4 linked regions of the Caenorhabditis elegans genome follow. The protein of the gene in region 1 purifies or fractionates together with the protein of each later gene. This does not show direct contact. Each region holds a gene or a part of one and is shown on either strand. Other genes may lie near its edges. The genes, in order: ant-1.2, nol-56, iars-1 and ymel-1.

The links.
Region 2: the proteins of ant-1.2 (region 1) and nol-56 fractionate together in Caenorhabditis elegans (co-fractionation; one large-scale study listed by BioGRID). This does not show direct contact.
Region 3: the proteins of ant-1.2 (region 1) and iars-1 fractionate together in Caenorhabditis elegans (co-fractionation; one large-scale study listed by BioGRID). This does not show direct contact.
Region 4: the proteins of ant-1.2 (region 1) and ymel-1 fractionate together in Caenorhabditis elegans (co-fractionation; one large-scale study listed by BioGRID). This does not show direct contact.

What each region holds. Positions count from the first base shown.
Region 1 is NC_003279.8:6,729,523-6,732,690, reverse strand, and holds ant-1.2 (ADP/ATP translocase), read left to right. Parts: upstream 1-1,731; coding exon 1,732-2,634; downstream 2,635-3,168. Other genes in the region: lbp-5 (Fatty acid-binding protein homolog 5), read left to right, coding at 422-631, 1,161-1,361.
Region 2 is NC_003283.11:10,349,942-10,354,572, forward strand, and holds nol-56 (Nucleolar protein 56), read right to left. Parts: upstream 3,038-4,631; 5' UTR 3,027-3,037; coding exon 2,928-3,026; intron 2,896-2,927; exon of another isoform or gene 2,769-2,895; intron 2,743-2,768; coding exon 2,628-2,742; intron 2,578-2,627; coding exon 2,423-2,577; intron 2,342-2,422; coding exon 2,234-2,341; intron 2,189-2,233; coding exon 1,954-2,188; intron 1,922-1,953; exon of another isoform or gene 1,792-1,921; intron 1,775-1,791; coding exon 1,442-1,774; intron 1,413-1,441; exon of another isoform or gene 1,277-1,412; intron 1,273-1,276; coding exon 998-1,272; intron 972-997; exon of another isoform or gene 839-971; intron 818-838; coding exon 677-817; 3' UTR 530-676; downstream 1-529. Other genes in the region: nssp-62 (Neuropeptide-Like Protein), read right to left, coding at 125-181; sluh-7 (Pre-mRNA-splicing factor SLU7), read right to left, coding at 3,734-3,883, 3,969-4,631. UniProt on the Caenorhabditis elegans protein: Required for 60S ribosomal subunit synthesis.
Region 3 is NC_003282.8:10,367,039-10,373,667, forward strand, and holds iars-1 (Isoleucine--tRNA ligase, cytoplasmic), read left to right. Parts: upstream 1-1,568; 5' UTR 1,569-1,576; coding exon 1,577-1,680; intron 1,681-1,741; coding exon 1,742-2,630; intron 2,631-2,680; coding exon 2,681-3,195; intron 3,196-3,264; coding exon 3,265-3,514; intron 3,515-3,561; coding exon 3,562-3,822; intron 3,823-3,875; coding exon 3,876-4,514; intron 4,515-4,564; coding exon 4,565-5,083; intron 5,084-5,136; coding exon 5,137-5,262; intron 5,263-5,318; coding exon 5,319-5,441; 3' UTR 5,442-5,599; exon of another isoform or gene 5,600-5,627; coding exon of another isoform or gene 5,628-6,017; intron 6,018-6,057; downstream 6,058-6,629. Other genes in the region: pges-2 (Prostaglandin E synthase 2), read right to left, coding at 1-119, 169-321, 369-467, 516-752; mpz-5 (PDZ domain-containing protein), read right to left, coding at 5,628-6,017, 6,058-6,144, 6,191-6,316, 6,361-6,489, 6,569-6,629.
Region 4 is NC_003281.10:10,414,191-10,422,149, forward strand, and holds ymel-1 (ATP-dependent zinc metalloprotease YME1 homolog), read left to right. Parts: upstream 1-1,948; 5' UTR 1,949-1,960; coding exon 1,961-2,033; intron 2,034-2,895; coding exon 2,896-3,126; intron 3,127-3,772; coding exon 3,773-4,117; intron 4,118-4,610; coding exon 4,611-4,717; intron 4,718-4,996; coding exon 4,997-5,256; intron 5,257-5,479; coding exon 5,480-5,584; intron 5,585-5,637; coding exon 5,638-6,337; intron 6,338-6,661; coding exon 6,662-6,817; intron 6,818-6,972; coding exon 6,973-7,167; 3' UTR 7,168-7,569; downstream 7,570-7,959. Other genes in the region: M03C11.3 (PH domain-containing protein), read left to right, coding at 231-512; M03C11.6 (BBS2_C domain-containing protein), read right to left, coding at 7,604-7,872. UniProt on the Caenorhabditis elegans protein: ATP-dependent metalloprotease that catalyzes the degradation of folded and unfolded proteins with a suitable degron sequence in the mitochondrial intermembrane region. Plays an important role in regulating mitochondrial morphology and function.

The sequences.
Region 1 (3,168 bases):
TATTAATCGTGATTCACCATGTACATACTACACTCCATCTTAGTGTATTCCATGTTATCAGTTCAAAACCGTCCAAAAATTGACCAACTTGTCCATCACCCAATACAACGTGGCAGCAGTTTCAGTACACTCCCCCTTGTGTCCTATTTACTATATATACGTTTTTCTGGTTTTCACTCATCTAAACCACTTTCTCCTGCTTTTTGTATTAATATTCCTTATTGCAATGCATTACATTTTTTATTTTTGTCATTAGAAACTATAAATTTAATAATACGAATCCAAAAGAATCATAGGCAATTTTCTAAAAGCAGAAATAAATCATCCAGAATTTCTTAATACTTATTCGTTTTTCATTTAATTCCCTTTATTATTATTCTGGTACTTCTTTATCAAAATTGTAAATTTCCAAATTTTCAGAATGTCTGCTGAACAATTTGTGGGTCGTTGGAAGCTTGTCGAATCCGAGAATTTCGAGGATTACCTGAAAGAAGTTGGGGTTGGTCTTCTTCTTCGTAAAGCCGCGTGTGCTGCAAAACCAACTTTAGAGATCAAAGTGAATGGAAACAAGTGGCATGTCAATCAACTTAGCACCTTCAAGAACACCACATTGGAGTTCACTCTGGGAGTGGTAAGTGAAATTTTGAAAAAAGGAAACGAGAATAGAACTCAACAACTATATGGCTTTTTCGTTAGTTATTTTCTTTCCCATTTAAAAACTTTCAAATGCCTTTCTCGAAACTCTAGCAAACACTGATAAGACTCAAACTAGTGGGTCAAAGTGCAGGAAGGTACACGTGGTTTTCAGTGTAAACAAAAAAATGAGAATAAAGAACAACTGAACTTTGTATCCATTTGAACACTACACACAACAAACGGGTGTTCTATTAACATAGATACACTTTGTGGCATGAAGAAATAATCTAATGTTTATGTCTTTCAGAATAGGTCTATGGAAAATTCAATTGCGAACTCTAAACGAACATTTGAAATCAAAAAAAGAATCATATTAAATCTAACAAAATATTTTTTTTTCGAATTAGTTACGATCTTTAAATGTGTCGGCTACATGAAAAACAACTCCCGGTTTTCATTCCATTAAAGTTCAGTTTTTAAATTGACTGTTATAATTTACCATTTAAAAAAATAGTGTTTTTTAGGAATTCGACGAGACAACACCAGACGGTCGTCAATTCAAGTCAACCATCACAATTGAAGATGGAAAAGTAGTTCATGTTCAAAAAAGGATTAAGGATTCAGATCATGATTCTGTAATCACTCGTTGGTTTGAAGGAGAAAAGCTCATCACAACTCTCCAATCTGGATCAGTTATCTCTCGTCGTGCCTATATTCGTGAATAGATTATTTTGAATATTGTTCTTGTTTTGTTCGGTCTTTGATGCAATAAATAGCGAAAAATAGTGTTTTTGTTTACGCAGAGTGACGTTTTAAAGGACCAGAAACCCTTTTCTTTTCTCTGTCTCTGTTAAAAAAGGCCTTGTTTATTTTCCGTAAAATTTTTCATTAGTTTCAACAATTTTTAAAGAAACACTTTTGTTTTAGATTTTTCTTTTTTTTTAAATTAATTTTATTCTTTATATTGATTAGACTTTCATGACCAAAATTTTGAGAAGAGTCTAGTGAGCTCCTTCCTACTCGCATTTGAAGAAAGTTTTATTATCAGCATTCAGGAAATATAATCTCTGAAAAAAAACATTCCAGAAGGACAAAATGACCACAAAGGAAGGATTTGATTATCGAAAGTTTCTTGTTGATCTCGCCTCCGGAGGCACTGCTGCAGCAATCTCAAAAACTGCCGTTGCTCCAATTGAACGTGTAAAGCTTCTACTTCAAGTCAGTGATGTCTCTGAAACAGTAACTGCCGATAAAAAATATAAAGGAATTATGGATGTTCTTGCTAGAGTGCCAAAAGAACAAGGATATGCAGCATTTTGGAGAGGAAACCTTGCAAATGTGCTTCGATATTTTCCAACGCAAGCGCTGAATTTTGCATTCAAAGACACTTATAAGAAGATGTTTCAAGAAGGAATTGACAAGAATAAAGAATTCTGGAAATTCTTTGCTGGAAATCTCGCTTCTGGTGGAGCAGCTGGTGCAACATCTCTATGCTTCGTGTACCCACTGGATTTTGTGCGTACTCGTCTTGGAGCCGATGTTGGAAAAGGAGTGGATAGAGAGTTTCAAGGTCTAACGGATTGTTTTGTGAAAATTGTGAAATCAGATGGACCAATTGGTCTTTATAGAGGATTTTTTGTTTCAGTACAAGGAATTATAATTTATCGTGCAGCATATTTCGGAATGTTTGATACTGCCAAAACATTGTACTCAACTGACGGGCAAAAACTCAATTTCTTTACGACATGGGCAATTGCTCAAGTTGGAACAGTTGGTTCTGGATATTTATCATATCCATGGGATACAGTACGTCGTCGAATGATGATGCAATCAGGGAGAAAGGATATTCTCTATAAAAACACTTTGGATTGTGTTAGAAAGATTGTGAAGAATGAAGGAATTACTGCATTATACAAAGGAGGTCTTTCAAATGTATTCCGAGCAACTGGAGGTGCTCTTGTGCTCACAATTTATGATGAGATTCAACATTTAATTTAATTACAGAATTAAAGTATGTATATGTTAATTTTGAAACAACATTGCCAATAAATTTTTTTGTTTAAAATGCATTTTTACTTTATTTTAAAAAAAAGAAGATTGTTTAAGTTTCACAATTTGAAAATGGGCTTCTATATATGTACAAGATACTAGTTTTTTACCTCAAAAAAAAATAAATTTAAAAAAAATTAAAACTTAGATATACTTTAATCAAAAACGATATTTTCCTCCTCAGAAATTTCAGAATTTTTTTGATAATATTTTTGTTTTTATTCGACTGAAAATTCCTCACTTTTCCTCTTTTCTATTTTTATTTTTCAAAAATGATGCAACGAATCAAAAAATGAATCATTCTTCAAAAAAAAACGAAACGAAAAATAGAGGAGACAGAAATAGAGAAAACGTTTTGAATCTCCGCCCACTCTTGCCCCCTATCATTCCATTTATCAGACCACCTAAATACGAATGATTTCCCAAGGCATTGCCATTCGTTTTCTTGTTGATTTGCAACTTTTCTTTTATTTCCATTTGCAA
Region 2 (4,631 bases), on another chromosome or scaffold:
GAGATTTTTTCTTCAAAAGTAGTACTATATTCTGAGCTTTTTTGCAAAAACAAAGTTAAAATAAGTTTAGCTTTTTATAATTAAAGTTCTTCTCCATTCTTTTTTTAATGAATAAAACCTGTACCTGTGCAAAAACCGTAACGAGAATTGAGACGAAAATGACAAAAAGCCGGCAATTCATTTTGTGTAGGAAGACCAAAGAAAGAGAATACTGGAAATTAATAATTATTTTGAAAACAGATCTGAAAATAAGACAGTATCAATAAAGGCGACTAATGAAATTATTATTTACTCTCTAAAAGAACGAAAAGGGTTGTTTTCCCGACCTATTATGAGACTGACTGAGTCTCAACTGACGTGTTGTGCATTTTCTAAGCTCCAGTCTTGCTCTCTTGGCCCCGCCCTTCTCGAGATTTTGACGCCGCCCTCTCATTCTTAATACACGGCTTCGCGTAGTGTAGTGAACAGAGCACTTTCGAACATTACTCGCACTGAAGTTTATATGTGAAGTCAATTCTAAAACATTTACGCTGGATTATACAAGTTTATTCATTAAGAAGAAAACAGAGTAACAACAAGATGTAGGGGTCCAACAGTCAACAAAAACAAAATAGTTCAACATGGGGGAGTTACATTCATAAAACAAAAAAGATCAGTGGTGTAGTGATGATGAAGATTACTCGTCTCCAGCCTTGCTCTTCTTCTTCTTCTTTGGCTTTGGAGCATCCTCGTCAACCTCAGCTTCAGCAGTTGCAGTGACAGACTCTTCAGCAAGACGCTTGGCTTTCTTGGCAGCCTTCTTCTTCTTTTTGATGACCTGAAATACAATTTTTAATTGATTGTTTCCTTAAAAGATAGATCATGAGTTTAAAATGAGAGAAACCCAGCTAAAAATTCTTCAATGGATAATTATATCGCATGCAAGCTAAACGGCCGAATTAAAACAATTTGCCCGCATTAAATACATGCTAAATAGGAAATTTGCGCAAAACTGTACCTTCTCCTTAACCTCAACGGCAGCTTCCTCGGCCTCCTTCATGACGTCAATGTTTTTCTTTGGAACAGTTCCGGAGGTGAAATACTCAAGTCTATCCTCAACCTGTTGGCGAAGGAATTCTCCATATGTCGAAACTGGAGTCTCGGAGAAGCAATCCACACGAGCAGCAATGGAGCACTTGTTAGCAAGATATCTGGACACACGACCCTTGTTCTTGGTTCCAGCTTTTCCAATGAAGCTGGAGTGGAAGAGAAGTCCATACTTTGGAGTGTTGGCTGAAAATGTACCAATTTCAGAAAAATCATAGACTCGAATATGACCGAGTGCAGCGAATAAAATCTTCAATAGAAAATAATTTTGCATGCAAGCTAAACGGCTGAACTAAAATCATCCACCCGCATTAAATACATGCCATCAATTAATGATACATTTTTCATGACTTACATCTGGTCTTCAAGGCACGGAAAAGAGCCTTCTCTGCTCCGAGGATTTGGACAGTGGACGCTGGATACTTGGCCAAGTTGGTCAGCGAACCAGCATGCGAGATCAAGCGAGCACCAACTTGTTCTCCGATAAGAGCACTGAGAGAAGGAGCACAGTGGTCCATACGATCTTTAATGTACTCGTGAAGTTGTTGTCTATACTCCATGAGAGAAGAGACACGAGCGGCGAATCTCTTGATGTTCTCAAGATCGAGATCGGAAATATCCATTCCCATTGATGTTCTGGCCGCTTCGATGATCTGAGCGGTTTTCTCGGAATCATTGTCAAGAATTTCTGAAAAAGGAAAGAATATTTGTGGGACACACAAAGTGACCGAAAACATCAAAACATTCTCGGTGTCTGGTTGTCTCTATGCTTTACCTCTCATTTTACTAGTGAACTTAACAAAATGCTAGTCCCCCGGCTTATAAGAGAGGTTACCCAAAATCTACATTTTGAACTATAATACTTACCAAGAATCTCATTCTCGAGGTTCTCATTTTCAGCCATCTTGTTTCTGTCCAAGATAGCGACAGCAAGGCGAGAGTACTTGTATTGATCTGGAGCCAGACGGAAGAGCTCTGGATAATGGTAAGAGTACCATTCACGGATTCTCATTCCAAAAAGATTGATATCCTTGTCCAACTGATCGAGAAGGGCAATCGATTGAATAACCATGTTGTCCACACGATGCACATCGAATTTGACCTATCAAAAAACATTTAGAGAAAAAAGCGCGATCGAGGTACGCACCTTCGAACGAGAGTAACTATGACCGAGAGAAAGCTGAGCTTTCGATAAGGAGTGATGTGGGAGATTTTTGGCCAAACGCTCGAAATGAACACGAGTACCACGCAGAATCTAAACTCAAAATATGTGTTTTCGTCATCGGTAACAGATTCAGGTAAACTCCAAAGAGTTTATTGTGAATCTTCACGTTACCTCGGTGATAACACCTCCGAAGACAAGCTTCAGATCTGGGAACGCTTCAGTAAGCGAACCCGCAAGCTTCGAGTCATTGATTCCAAGCACAACGTGTTTTTTCTTTTTTGGAAGCGACTTTTGAAGAAAATTAGTGAGATCAGGGTGGGCGAGACCTAATAATTAAAATAATTACTCCCCATCAAAACTTATCGGTCTTTGTTACCTTCAGAGATGGAGTTGCAGTTTTCCAATGCAGCTTCGGTGTTTTTGAACGGATCAAACGAAGCAAGCTCAACGATTTGCGAGAACTTGTATCCATCAGCATGAGCGGCATCGACCTGAAAATGCGTTAATTTAAGCACTAAACTGTGGGACATACGAAGTGACCGAATATATCACAACATAATCGGTGTCTGGATGTCTCTATAATTTTCCTCGCGTTTTACTAGTGAACTCAGCAAAGGCTAGTCCCCCGGCTTATAAGCGAGGATATTTTAAAAATACTTTTTTCGAGCGAACGTACCTCTTGGAGGATAAGACCAGCATCATCAAACTCCTTAATCTTCATGAGAGCGTATCCAGCTGCATGCTCATAGAGCACGAAGTGGGGAACTTCCGACATGGTGTAAGAACCTGAAAAATCATTTATTCAAGAAAACCAAAAAGGGTGCAAAAACTGTGAGACTTTAAGTAAAGAAGAATTGATAGAACATTAATGTAATTGTTTATAAATACATCTTTCCTTATCATTCCAGTAATAAATAAATAAATAAAAACCGAAATTGGATCGATAAGTATCAAAAATAGGCCGGAGAAAAAATAAGGACGAATCAAAAAGACGACGGCGTACCTCTTTCGCTGCGAGACCTATTCGCAAAAGAGTGTGTGCCTTTACTACTCGTGAACTCCACTCGGACAAAATAATGGCAGTGGAGAAAATTACGCCAGTAAAACGTTTTATTAGAAATTTCTATAGAAATGAAAAAAGACGAACGAAATATTATCGGGAAAAATCGAAATTTTTCTAGCCGTTCACCAGAATCGATGTGCTTAGAATTTATTTTCAGAATGTAAATAAATCCAGATCAAGAAAACATGACGTGGAGGTTTTTGAATGAACGAATATACTGAAGCACGTATTTAAAAATTATTTAACACGAAGTTGGGCGCAGACGTTCGAAAATGAATTATTGAATAAGGGCATTTTGTAAAATCGGAATTAAAAAAATAATGGTGATCATGAATTGAATAATTTATTGAATAGACTGAATACAAATGTTTCAACAAACAACAATAAAGAGAAAAAACTACGGAGACGACTTCAAATAATTACTTGGTGTGTTTCTTCTCAAATTTGGAATTCATGTAGGCTGCCATCGGATCAGCAGAATGAACACTTGTCACACGATAAGCCTCCATTTCTTTTTCGTTCGGTGCAGTGTTGGAGTAGTCAGTGTTGTATTTACGGCCGCGATCACCCTGAACAAAGTATTTTATATTTTGAATTTTCAAGGAATATAATAGTACTAAGCGACCCGGATAAAATTAGTATTGGTAATCTTACCTCTCTTGCAGCTTTCATTCCTTCGGCCTTTTCCCGTTTCGCCTTCTTCATAGCTTTACGCATTTCTTCATCAGAATCAGATTCTGAACCACTTCCCGACGAAGGATCGCTTTCATCGTCCGAATCGCGATGACGCCTCTTTCTTTTCCCCAGCTTTGCCTTCTTGCGTTCACGCTTTTCACGTTTTTTATCACGACGCCGCTGGTCCCGTTCTCTTCGTTCTTTTTCAATTAACCTTTCCTTCTCGCGTTCTTTTTCTTTTTCTTCATCGTCACTTGGTGGTGATGGTGATATGGACTTCTCTGATACTTTTTCCTTTTCTTCGTCATTATCATTATCACTGTTTTCTTCTGCTACTTCATCCTTGATGGAATCTTCCTTCTCTTTTTCTTCTTTAACTTCAGTCTTCTCTACTAACTTCGGAACTTTGAAAATTTCTTCGTTTGAGGTCGTTGTACCTTTTGCTGCGCTCGTTTCAGCTTCAATTCCCTGCTTTCCCGTACAATATGAGTTCTTGACGAATTGATGACAGCACTTATATCCCCACCGACCCTCTCTCCAGAAACTTCCGAACACTGATGTATGATTTTGGGGATATATATCTTCTTTGAAGCGAGAGCTAATTGCTACTTTTTCCTTTCCCTTGATAACTTTTCCTTTCCG
Region 3 (6,629 bases), on another chromosome or scaffold:
TGGATGAACCAATTGTCCACCCATTCTCTCCATTCCCGCTCTTCTCTGGCAGAAGCCATATTTGCGTCCCCGTCTACTTTTCCCTTCATAACGAAGAATTTGTTAGGGTAGTTGAGAACCTGAATCAGCAAGGATGTTTTAAAATTGCAGAGTAATTCAAAAACCCACTGGCTTTCCTTTCTCGTTTGTTGAATCAACTGCTGGATACATTTGTATTATCTGGTCGAGTGACTGATCGGGTCTTTGAAGATATGTTGCCAATGTGGAAATAATCAAAGTAGACTCGGTCATAGTTGTCTCGCCACTCCTGAGAATTGGAACCTGAAAGAAAATAGATAAAACAACCGGAAATGTGAATGAAAACTTACTTTTTTATAAGTTGTGCTAAACTTGATCTGTGATCTAGTGACTGGATTTACTTCTACAACCTCATAGGAGAATCCGTGATAATCTAAGAAGGCTCGAACCTGTATTTTTGATTAATAGTTTTCATACTTCACACAAGAGTAACGCACCTTGCAACAGAACGGGCAAGTCTCGTATTGATACAATCGGAGCTTCAAGTTTGACTTATCCAGGTGATTAATAACTTTTCGACTGAGGAGGACATCATTCTGCACTTTCTCGGGTTGCTGAACTTGAATTGGGCATGTTCTGAGTTTTGCTGTTTGGATATCGTCCAGCTTTGATCCTCCCCACGAGAATCCAGCCAAAGAAGCAATCTGGACTGTCCGTACACCAAAAAAACGCATCTGAAAACTAAAAAATGAATTTTCAGTTCATTAAAAGAAAACGGGCGGAAAAACACAACGGATCGGTTACATTCATACAAATTTCACTGAAAAAACGCAAGAAATGCGCTTTTTCTCGCGAGAAACCGTTTTCCACTACGGGGAATATCAAATTTAAATCAGCTTCATATTAACTTTCACTTTATTTGTCTGAAAACGGACTGTAATTCATAAAAAAAAATTTTCGGCGAATTAAAAAGACGGGAAATCGTGGCGAGACCCTGCTGAATAAATGCATGCGCCTTTAAAAAATTGTTTTATTTGGAGTTCCCATTTTCCAGTTTTCTTCTTATTTTGATCGGTTTTTCATGCAATTCCGATGTTTTTTGTCATTTAAGTTTGTTGAAAATAACAACTAAATAACATTTCATTTAACTCAAGTACTTATCTGACTGCTTTAGAAGAGGTTCCCATGTTTTTGGTAGTATTTCATTTGTATACATCTCTTTCTACACTGGAATAGTTTATCTCACGCTACTGATGGTGTCAATTTAATGTTTTCTTACTAACTAGATGAAAACTTGGTAAAATTACTCGAAGATGTGCCTTCTAGATACGAAACTATGCCTTAAATTGTCCTTGATAACGTTTCCGTTAACACCACCAATTATTCAAATAAATATATCATATTTTAGTATGACGAATATTTAAAAAATTACTACTTCCATCAAAATTTCGCAATACGCAATAAAGAATGTTGCATCAGATTTCATGTGATTGCGTTGTTATTTATGTTAGTCGCCTAGTGTCTAACTTTCGCATATTTAAAATTTACAGGGTAAAAAATGAGCGGCCTTTCGACCGTTCCCGACAACATCAATTTTGCCAGAGAAGAAGATAAAGTCGCTCAAAAATGGCAAGATGAGAATACTTTCCAACGTTCTGTTGAGTTAGTTTTTTTTTAAATATTCTGGAATTGTTCACATTGAAAAAAAAAACGTTATCTTCAGGCTGTCAAAAGATCGTCCACATTTCACTTTTTATGATGGACCACCTTTCGCTACTGGCCTTCCTCATTATGGTCATATGCTTACCAGCACCATCAAAGACGTTGTTGGTCGCTGGGCTCATCAAAACGGTCACTATGTAGAAAGACGGTTTGGTTGGGATACTCATGGTCTTCCAGTCGAATACGAAATCGATAAGACGCTTGGAATCAGTGGTCCACAAGATGTCATGAAAATGGGAATCGCTAATTACAACAATGAATGCCGAAAGATCGTTATGAGATATTCTGGCGAATGGGAGAAAACAATGGGACGTCTTGGTCGCTGGGTAGACTTCAAGCATGATTACAAGACTCTCTACCCGTGGTTCATGGAGTCTGTATGGTGGGCTTTCAGCGAGTTGCATAAGAAGGGCCTTGTCTACAAAGGTGTAAAAGTTATGCCTTTCTCTACTGCTTGTTCTACTCCACTCTCCAACTTTGAAGCTGGTCAGAATTACAAAGATGTAGTAGATCCAGCAGTATTCGTCGGATTCAAATTACTCGATTGTCCGAATAGGCAGCTAGTTGCATGGACAACAACTCCATGGACACTTCCATCCAATCTAGCTCTAGTTGTTCATCCAGACATGCTGTATGTGGTCACTAAAGATAAAACGACTGGAATCGAATACGTTGTTCTGGAAGAACGTCTCGGAGAGTTGAAAAATGATAATTTGGAAGTTATTGAGAAACTTGCTGGTAGTCAGCTCAAAGATCTCAGGTATGAACCATTGTTCCCATACTTTGCCTATATGCGCGAAGAAAGAAACGCATTCCGGGTATTGAATGACACTTTTGTCACCTCTGACTCTGGTACCGGAGTTGTTCATCAAGCACCATATTTCGGAGAGGTAAGATTCCTTTTTTTCTTTTCTTTTTTTATATAAAAAATACTTTCCAGATCGATTTCCAAGTTTGTGTGGCGAATGGAGTTATCGCTAAAGACCAAAAAATGATCTGTCCAGTTGATGAAAGTGGAAAATACACATCAGAAGTTCCAGATTATCAAGGAGTCTACGTGAAAGATGCTGATAAGTTGATTATCAAGAGACTCAAGGAAATGGGAAATCTTGTCAGACAAGCGGAAGTGAAGCACTCCTATCCATTCTGTTGGCGGTCTGACACTCCACTTCTCTATAAGGCTGTTCCATCCTGGTTCATCAACGTCGAAACCCTGATTCCAAGGCTTCTGGCTAACAATGATGAGACATACTGGGTTCCCGCTTTTGTCAAGGAAAAGAGATTTGCTAACTGGCTTAGAGATGCTCGCGATTGGGCTGTATCGAGAAATCGGTTCTGGGGAACTCCAATCAATTTGTGGGTGAGCGAAGATGGAGAGGAAGTTGTATGTGTTGGAAGTATTGCTGAATTAGAAGAGCTTTCAGGACAAAAAATCACTGATCTTCATAGAGAAAGGTTTGTTAAAAAACATGTTACTATTCATAAAATACGATGACTTTATAAATTAACAGTGCAAATTTCCAGCGTTGATGATGTTACGATCCCATCTCGTTCAGGACGGGGAGTTCTCAAGAGGGTTTCCGAAGTTTTTGATTGTTGGTTTGAATCAGGATCCATGCCATATGCCCAGAATCATTATCCATTTGAGAACCGCAAAATCTTCGAAGACAATTTCCCAGCTGATTTCATCGCTGAAGGAATTGACCAAACCCGTGGGTGGTTTTACACACTTCTAGTTCTGTCAACTGCTTTGTTCAACAAGCCACCATTCAAGGTTCGTACAATTTCAATATTTTAATTTAAATCAAAAATGTTTTCCAGAACCTGATCTGTAACGGACTCGTATTGGCGTCGGATGGAGCAAAAATGTCAAAGAGTAAGAAGAACTATCCCGATCCAATGCTCATTGTTAACAAGTACGGAGCCGATGCTTTGCGTCTTTATCTCATCAACTCTCCTGTGGTTAGAGGAGAAAATTTGAGATTCAGAGAAGAAGGCGTAAGAGATCTTCTCAAGGATGTGTTCCTTCCATGGTTTAATGCCTACAGATTCTTTGTACAAAACGTACAAGCATATGAACATGTAAGTTTATTCATGTTGAAACAATTATGAGATTGAAATATTATCGTTTTTAGGAAACTGGAAATGTGTTTGACATGAACGTTCATGTTGCCAGTGAAAATGTCATGGATCGGTGGATTGAATCCTTTACAAACAGTCTTGTTGCGTTTGTTCGGAAAGAAATGGATAGTTATCGGCTTTATGCTGTTGTTGGACCGCTTACAAAATTCTTTGACACTCTTACAAATATCTACATCAGATTAAATAGAAAGAGAGTCAAGGGAGACAACGGACTTCATGAGCAACATCACGCTTTGGCAGCCCTCGGACGAGTTCTCATTTTGATTGTTAGATTGATGGCTCCTTTCACACCATTCTTCTGCGAGTATATCTGGCTAAATTTGAAGAAAGTCATTGGTTCGACTGAGGAATCAGTTCACTTCCTGATGCTCCCAAAACCGGATGAGAGTCTAATCGACGAGACTGTGGAAAGACGAGTTGAAGTTATGAGAAATGTTATCGACTTGGTTCGTCTTGTTCGCGATCGTGAAGGACTTGCTGTGAAATATCCATTGAAGGAAATGATTGTTATTAACAGAGACAGTCAGTTTTTGGAAGACGTAAAAAGTTTGGAATCATATATTCTTCTTGAGTTGAACGTCAGAAAATTGACCGTTTCACAAGATAAACAGAAATACGGAATCACCCTAAAGGTATTAAAATTTCAAAAAGTTTGTTCAAAATATAATACTTAAAATTACAGGCAGAGCCAAACTTCAAAATTCTGGGTGCTCGTCTCAAGGGAGAACAAAAGAAGGTTGCTGACTACTTGAAGAACCAAATCACTGAATCTGAGTTGGAGAAATTCCTTCTTGAAGGAAAATTGACTGTGCTTGGGCATGAGCTCTCCTCGGAAGAAGTTGCTGTTAGCTACGCGGCTGGAAGTGATCAAGGACATGGATACAAAACTCACTCGGATGCAAAGACCATTGTAATGATTGATACAACTGAAGATGAGTCTCTTATTGAAGAAGGACTCTGCAGAGAAGTGACAAATCGTGTTCAACGTCTTCGCAAACAGGCTAAACTTGTATCTACTGATACTGCTCATGTTCATATTGTTGTTAGTCCAGCTGATTCTCAACTCGCAAAGGTTGTTGCTGCCAAATTGAATGACATTGTATCCGCTACTGGAACACCTATCAAGTTGGGATCACCACCAGCCGCTGCAAAGGCTCCAACTGCCACCAGCAAGAGTGCAATTAAGGATTCAGAAGTTGAGGTAAATTCCGTTTTTGTTGATGTTCTCTAATATTCCTGAACAATTATTTTCAGCTTTGGTTGTTCGCCGAAGGTGACAGTTTCGATGGGATCACTGTTGTTGATGGATCAAAGAAAGTTCGAGTTCATGTGAAAACAGAAAAAGAACACCTGAAGGGATATGCTGATCTTCTATATCACGTATGTTTATCGGGTTTTCCTAGAAATTTAAAATGTTAAATCTGTTTTTGTTTCAGGTTCGCTCTGCTCTTGATCTCTGGAACGGTAAGATTGCCTTGAAGAATGTCGATGGATCGGCGGTCCATCCAACAGTTGACGTGACGTCTCTTGTTGGTCAGACTCTTCAACTCGTACGATAAATTGCTATTACATCTTTAAATTATCCATATCCGGTTCGCATTTTAGTTCCTGGCTTTATTTGAACCCATTTGAACCGCAGTTTTTCTCATATTTGTTTCTTACACTATTTTGTTTGCTGTTAACGTATAATATTTAATTATGAATGTTTAAGGATTTTAATGTAGAAACTTTATTATCAGAGAAATTCAGCTAGCATTTTTACACGCTCTCAGTTTAGCAGGATCAATGTCACTAACGATCTGATGTTCTGTACGTCCCTCTTTCAATTTGATGTTTTTCTTCTTATCTCCTTTCTTCGGTTGTTGTGGTAGATATCCTTTCCCCAATTTTCTGAACTCCTCTACCGCCTTATCAGCAATTGCCACAACATCATCTGCCAAATCAATGTGATCTCTGAGAATATCTCGAATTGGTGCTTCAATAAGAAGCGTAAAGTGTCCAGAAGAAGCGATGCTGCTCGCAATACAATAACGGAGCATGCTCTTCGAGCAAATTGCCTGAGAATTACACTCCCGAATGACATCTCCAGATTTCAGATGGATGGATGCTAAGCTGTTTGGAGTAACATAATCAACCTGAAAATGAAATGCGGTGGTTACTGTAAGTTTAAATTACCTCCAAACGATCTCTATTGTTATATTTGACAAATAATCCCAAGTCAATGAATTGCATTTCAGGAGTTGGACGAACTTTTATGAGAACCTAAAATAAGAAAGTTTTTTTTTTAATTTTTAAAAAGCTGTCTCACAAAGTAATGGTTAACAGGATTTGGAGTGATTCTCTCTAAATCTCTGTCAATTTGGATTTTCTCAACAGTTGTTCGAATATGAAAACACCAGGAAAACATGTTACGTTTCAGTTGTAGATGAATATTCTGAAATTTTCGTTTGCAAACACTCGATTCAGAAATATTAACACCTCAGTTTTCTCTTTCAACTTTTGGTGCAACTCGTCACTAGTGTGGATAACTTTTTCATCGATTGCAGTGATACAATCACCTAGAAATGCTTTTCCAATAAGATGTGATTCAGGAAGGACATGTGTGATCTGAATATGAATTATGTATGGTGTCCCAAAATCAAGATCAAGAGCTCAAGAATTTGAATAAATACTATTTGACAATTACCCGACAATCCTGCTTGTGTACACGAACTCCTATTGGCTTTCGAATCATGAAATGGTCGATC
Region 4 (7,959 bases), on another chromosome or scaffold:
CTACATGAAATTTGGTAAAACTCTAAAAAAAATCGCCAAAAATTTTGCGGAATGTCTGAAAATCGATAATTAGAAAAAAATGAAGAAAAACTGATCAATTTTTATATTTTAGGACATCTTTATTGTGTAGTTTCGTGGGTTTTCTCAAAAAAGATTTTTAAACTTCTGAGATTATGGGAAATTTTGATGTTTTAAAGTTAAAAAATCACAAATAAATTCACATTTTTCAGAGAGAAACGGACAAACGAATAAGAAATCGTCAACCAGCTCAAAAATCGGCGGCCGCCACACCAGCACACAGCTCATCATTCGCAGTACCAAATGCCGGAGAAGTTGAAGACGACGAAGACGGCAATCAATATCCACCATTTGATATGAATCAATTTGAATTGGATGCTGCAGTTGTGTCAAGGCGTCGTTTTGCTTCTGTCGAGAAACCATTTGAGCAACGCGATTTTCTCAATAATCATCGAAAGAAATCCACCATCAATACCGAGTTAACCAGCAAATAGTGTCATTTTTCCCCATTTTTTCTTTTTTTTTTCTGAAGCAGCTTTTGAATTTGGAAATTTTGAAATTGAAAATTGTGAAATATTCCTAAAATTGCAAATTTTTCGACGAAAAAATATCAAGATTTTAGCATTTAATTTACAGTTTTTAAAGGGAAAACACGCCAAAAAAGTTCTCAAAAAATCTTGAATAATGCGCATTTTTTCCTCTAAAAATATACAAAATTCTGGATAAAATTACTGAAATCTCCATTTTTGACGTAAATTGAGATTTAATTTGGTAATTTCCAGTGTTTTTTAACGCCAAAAAATTCAGATTTCCTATGAAAAATCTAGAAACTTGTACATTTTTAGCAGGTTTTTCCCCCTGAAAAAAAATTTTTTTAATTCAAAAATTCTTGAAATGCCGAATTTTGATTTTTCTCGCGTTTTCCATGTCAAAATTCAAATTTATTTCTCATTTCGAAAGCTTCTTCATCTTCATTTTCTCCAGAATCCCATCCCATCCTAAACATGAATCTCTGTCACATCTCATTTCGCACTTTTTCGTTTTTTCCCCATTTTTTCCATTACGACGATCTCTCGTTTTTTAAAATTAATTTTTGTTTTTTTTTTGAGTGTAGCACTTTGCCTACATTACTGTAAAATTAGAAAATTTCATAGTTTTTTGCAGATTTTTTTTGGAAGAAAACTGGCAGTTTTTGGGAGAATTTTTGGATTTTTTCCAACCCAAAAATGTCTGAAATTTGGAACAAAAATTGAGAAAAAAAAACCTTTTTTTCTTAATTTTTCTCACTTTTTTGAGTCTCAAAATTAAGAAAAATTCAAATTCCCAACCCGAAAAATTGCACATTTTCCCCAAAATTCTTCTGCCACGTCACAAATATCATCACCCGGTCCCCGTAATTTCCCATAAAACAAGCCTCTAATTCATTTTCCCACCCAATTATCCGCTGTTGATTTGTTGTTCAATGTTTTTTTTTCGGTACCTCACTTATTTTATATATATATATTTAAATATTATCACAACTAGAACCTTTTCCTTCTCCTCTTCCTGCTGAGCCATCTCATTCTCAATTTGTAACGACTAAAAATTCCCAAATTTTTGTGCGCATTTTTTTTCATTATTATTATTATTACTACCATATTATTTCTCATCATTTGAAAGAAAAATGCCGGTTTTATTTAGCCAACAAAAATTGCATACAAACGAAGAAAAAAGGTCACCTGAAACCGAAATATTTTTGCCTGACACGAGGCGGCGGCGTCGCGGTTTGCATCATGGAAATTGCAAACGCGCTCCACTGGACTCTCGCTCCTGGCTAACTGAAGTTAGTCACTGCGCCTATCAGTAGTAACTATTTTTCTCTGAAATCTCGGAAAATCTTTTTCTATAGATATATAGAAATATAAATTTTTGTATTCTCTGAAAATTCCAGAAGAAAAAGCTTATGCAGTCGGCGATCAATTTGAACATTGGCGGTTTGCTCCAGAATACGGGACTGCTCAGAAATAGTCGAAATGGTTTGTTTTTAAAGTTTTTAAAAATAGAGGAGAAGATCGATTTTTAGGTGATCTGGAATTCTTTTTAATCCGGCTGAAAATATTTCATTTTTTGAAATTTATGATTTTCAAAATTTGGTAAAAAATTAGGCAAAAATGTAGTTTAAATTTAAAAAAATTGTTAACAATTCTGTTTCAATAATTATGTCGTACTTATTTTATTTTAAGAAAAATGTCGATTTTTACATGACATTGTACTTTTTGAAAAAAAAATTTCAACGGGATTTTGAGCTAAAAATGAAAAAAAAAACTATTTCTTGGTCTGAAAATGCTTAGATTTTGATGTTTTAGCTGGCAACATTTAGGTATTCAGTTTTCAACAATTTGTTTGAATCAGAAATTATTATTTAGCCGGGCGAAAAACAATCAATTTAAAATGAAATTAAAATTGTTCTTTATAAATTAAAAAGCTTGCAGAAAGCAATATACGCTTTTTTTTAATATTAAGACATTTAGTATGGTAATTAGAAAATAAAGTTTAAAAAATTAGCACAATATATTCAAAAACTACATATTACGGGAGCACAATATTCTGAGAATGCGTATCACACAACATATTCGACGCGCAAATAATATCGTGCGAAAACTACAGTAATTCTTTAAATGACTACTGTAGCGTTTGTGTCGATTTACGGGCTCGATTCTTAAAATCATTTTTTTTATCGATAGAATATTAAAATTAAGCAAAAAAATCGACACAAGCACTACAGTTTTCACTTGAAGAATTACTGTAGTTTTCGCTTCGAGATTTTTTACGTTGCCCAATACTCATTCTCAGAATTTTGTGTTCCTGTAATAATTTTCAAAAAATCCAAATTTCCAGGAATCAATAGGAAACCGTTGGATATTGAAGCAACAGCAGCATCACTTTCAAGAGTATATCATCAAGTTTGGAGACAATTCAGTTCTGATACTTCTTCACCTGTTACAATCAATCAAATGAATAATATTCTCAGAGATAGTACGCTTTCAAGGCGGATCGCTAGAAAATCTGAAATTTCGCTGAATTATGATGATGCTGTCGTTCGGATAATTCCGGCGAGCTCTTCGTTTTGTAAGTTTAAGCTGCGTGGAAATTTTGCTCCTTTTTGTAAAATAAGAAAAAATTCAGAAAAAAGTTTGAAACTTTAAAAAAATTGCAAAAAAACTTATTTTTTGATCTAAAATAGGTTTTTTTTAAAATTTTCACAATTTTTACAAAAAAGGAAAATTTTATCGAAAACTTGAATATTTTAAAACAATTTTTTATTAGTTAGATTTTTCATTATTTTAGGAAATTTTCATAGAATAATATAAAAATAATTGAAAAACAAAACAAAAATTTTCATTTTAAAAAACCAACTTCAAATCAATATTTATGTTAATTTTTTTGAAATAAAATTTTTTATTTATTTTAATTTCAAAAATATATAAAATATTGTTTGGAAGTAGGTTTTTTTCCAATTTTTTTTTATTTTATGAAAATTTATTACAAGCATTTTCTAAATATTTCCTAAAATTATTTTTAAAAAATCTACTTTTTTTCGTTAAAAATTGTTTTTAAAAATTTCCTTTTTCTGAATTTTTTCCACTAATTTTAATTAAAATTTATAGGAAATTTTACAAAAAAAACCTCTAGATACTGGTATTTTATTGGTATTTTTAAAATAAAAAATACGATAATTTTTTTTACATTTTTCAAAAAATTCCAATTGTCTCAGATATCCAACGCCGCGGATTTCGTACTCGAAAACAGACATTCGGAGTCGGAAATGCCGGAAAACCGACACAAGATGAAGTGAAATCTCCGTTAACCTATTTCTCAGAGCTTCTCGCTGGAAAAAAGCAAAAAACGTCAGAAGGAGGAGTTGAAAAATGGAATCAATATGAGTCGGATCTCAAGAAATTACCAGAAAATCAACAGAGAACATATACTGATGGATTTGTTAAGGGATTATTGTCAAATGGTGTTTCGGGAGCTGGAAAAGATGGGAAAAAATCGAATACGCTCACGCGGTTCTACATTTTTCTTGTTTTTTGCATCTTTTTCGGATATTTGACTGGAAGTGCGTTTTATTTCGAGAATTTATAGTGAAAAATTGAAAAAAAAATTTTTTTTTCCTTGAAACATTAAATTTTTAGACATTTTTTCTCCTGAATTTTAAAAATTTAAAATTAAAAAAAAAACACATTTCGCTTCAAAATTGTTGAATTTTGTTTAGAATTTCGAAAAAATTGCTGAAAACGTCCGAAATTTTTCAAAACTGCATATTTGAAAAGTTTTGGAAAAAAGTTTTTTTTTTAAATTTAGGAATTAAAAATTAAAAATACAATTTCCAGGTTTTGAAAATTCGTATTTATTTCTAAAATTAACTAAATATTCTATAATATTTAATTTTTAAAAATGTTTTATTTCAAGTCTAAAAATCGGTTTTTAAAAATTGTTTTGGAAATTTTGTAAAACTTTTCAAAAACTGCATATCTTGAACATTTTAGAAGAAAATTTTTTTTTTTTCAAAAAAAAATTAAAAAGTTTATGAATTGATCTCCTAAATAAAGGAATTCGTGTGCGTGTAGGCGATCGACAAATTGGTTCATTGTTCTTCTCGAATCCACAAGAAGTCAATCCAGAGGATGTTCAAGTTACTTTCGATGATGTTAGAGGAGTGAGTTTTTTGGAAAAATTTACCGAAATTTGCGATTTGTTTCATTTAAAAAACGACACGAAATCATTGAAAAAACCCTTAAATTTTTTTCTGAAATTCGAAAAATTGCAAAAATGTTTATTTTGCCGAATTTTTTGGAAAAAAAACCTTTAAAATTAAAAAAAAAATTTAAACTTTTTTTTTTTTGATTTTTTGACTTTTGAAAAAAAAAACTTTAAGATAATTGTATCAAACTTAAAGTGTTCTAAGAATTTTTTTCAATATTTTTTCAATTTCCAGATGGACGAAGCGAAATTGGAAGTGGAGGAGATCGTGGATTACCTGAAAGATCCAGAAAAATACTCAAGACTTGGTGGTCGATTACCGAAAGGTGTCCTACTCGTCGGACCCCCCGGAACCGGAAAAACGTTGCTCGCGAGAGCAATAGCCGGTGAAGCACAGGTTCCATTCTTCCATACTGCTGGATCAGAATTTGATGAAGTACTTGTTGGACAGGGAGCCCGTCGTGTTAGGGATCTTTTCGATAAGGCTAAGGCTCGGTGAGCAGGCTATTTTGGAGACATTTTACAAAATTTTTGTTTTTTTTAACCATTAGTTTTCTTAAATTGGCCAAAATTTAATGTTTATTTTAAAATTAAAATTCAATTTTGTTGCCCTCTCGGAATTATCGATTTGTATGATATTCGCTAAAACTTTGACAAAAAAAAATTTCGTAAAATTAAGTAAAAGCCCCGAAAAAAATCCAAGATTTATATTTTTCAGTGCTCCATGCATCATTTTCATCGACGAAATCGATTCAGTTGGCTCAAAACGTGTTTCGAATTCCATCCATCCATATGCAAATCAAACGATTAATCAACTTCTCAGGTAACAATTTGCTCAATTTTGTGCATTAAAAACTCATCTCCTGATGTTTTCAGTGAAATGGATGGCTTCACCCGTAACGAGGGAATCATTGTAATTGCCGCAACAAATCGTGTCGACGACCTCGACAAGGCCCTTCTCCGACCCGGACGCTTCGATGTTCGTGTCACAGTTCCAAAACCTGATCTCGCTGGGCGTGTGGACATTTTCAACTTTTATCTCTCAAAAATCGTGCATTCCGGTGGAATTGATCCTAAAGTTCTGGCGAAGGGATCGACAGGATTCACTGGAGCCGACATTGAGAATATGGTGAATCAGGCGGCATTGAAAGCGGCGACTGATAATGCTGTGGAGGTTACGATGGCCTATTTAGATGAAGCAAGGGATCGAGTACTGATGGGACCGGCACGTACTGGAGGAAGGATTCCTGATGAAGAAGCAAATAGAAATACAGCTTATCATGAAGCAGGTCATACTCTGGTGTCTTTGTACACAAAAGATGCTACACCTCTGCATAAAGTAACTATTATTCCACGTGGACAATCTCTCGGACACACTGCAATGCTTCCTGAAAAGGATAGTTATCAGTTGACTAAAGCACAAATGCTTGCTACGTTGGATGTGATGATGGGCGGTCGGGTGGCTGAAGAGCTCATCTTTGGAGATGATAAGGTCACCACTGGTGCTGCGGATGATTTGAGTAAGGCCACTCAGTTGGCGGTGCAGATGGTTAAGGTTTTTGGAATGAGTGATAAGGTGAGAAGGGGGCTTGGGAATACTTTTTTCTTAGGAAATATGAGCTTGGCGCAAAATTTTTTTTCGGAAAATTTGAATTTCCTGCCATAATTTTTTCAAAATATTCAAATTTCTCGCAATTTTTTTTCGCTAAAAATTGTTTCAGTGAATTTGAATATCTCTCCGAAAAAAAAAACAATTAAAATTTCCCGCAATTTTTTTTTTATTTTTGAAGCTGTCGCCAACAATTTTCTTTAAAAATTTGAATATCCCACCAGAAGTTTTTAAAAACTAAATTCTAATTTCCCGCTAAAAATTTTCTATATTTTAAATTTAAAATTCCAGGTCGGACTCCGTGATTTCACTGCCCAAGACAATGAAAGTGCACTGGTAAAAGTGTCGGATTTGGCACCACAAACAGCCGAACTAATTGATGCAGAGATTAATCGTGTACTACAGGAGAGCTATAAAAGGGCTAAAGTCATTTTGGAAACCAAGAAGGTTTTTTTTTTGGAATTTTCTAATTTTCCAGATTTTTTAAAACTAAAACAAAAATGTTGCTAAAAACTTGAAAAATACGACGTCAGCTTTTTTTGTTAAAAAATTAATTTAAAAAGATTCCTTCAAAAATTCTCAAAATTTCCGATTTTTTGCAGAAAGAGCATCAACTGCTCGCGGAAGCTCTTCTCGAATACGAAACTCTCTCAGCTGACGAGGTGAAACGTGTTATCAGTGGACAGAAAATCAAGCGACCAACACCGGCGGCAGTGAAGAAAAGTAATGAAACAAAACGAAATCAACCGTCGCTTGTTCTTCATTTATTCGAGGAAGAAGGCCGTGGAAAGCAATAATTTCTTCTTTTTTTTTCTTTAAATATTCTAAGTTCTGTACTTTTTCCTCCTTTTTCTGATTTTATTTCAGTTTAAGTTCGCTCGAAAATCTTAGAAAATCGAAGTTTTCGTGTAAATTGAGTGATTTTTTTCCTATTTTTCTTCCATCTTCTCGTCTACAGGTATTCATTCACCTATTTAGCATTCTTCTCTTTCCCCAATTTTTTCCCGTTTTTTCTCCGGTTTTCTCGATTTTGTACCAATTTTCCTTGTAGGTTCTCAACTCTCTTCTCATAGTCCCCTGAGAATTTTGTGTCTCGATCGCTGTGAGACCACAAAATTTCCGGTTTCATCCTCTCTTTCTCCTCTGTGGTTGTAGCTTTCTAGATGTACGGATCTGTTGAATATAAATGTGTTTTTGGATTCTAGAAAACAATTTGAAAAAAAGAAAATTAATTTATTGGCACTTCTCATTCAGAAGTCTCAAAAACATTTCACAAATTGAGCTGTTCTCCGAGATGACGTGGCACCGAGTGACGTCATCACTGCTCTCCGTGAACAAAAAGAGCCCATCAAAATTGTCGGCGCCGACAAAAAGACGCCACGTGTCGAAATCGTTAGCCGAAAAATGAGGGAATTCTCGGCGAAATGTGGCAAAATCCGGAACAATTGGCACAGGAAAACGGTGGAGCACAGTGAGCAGTGATTGGATAATTCGAGTGGATTCTGGAATAGAGAAAATGTGGGTTAGAAGGGGGCGAAGTCGACGACCACTTTCTGGGCGGAACCTAAAGCTAATATTTCTACAATTAA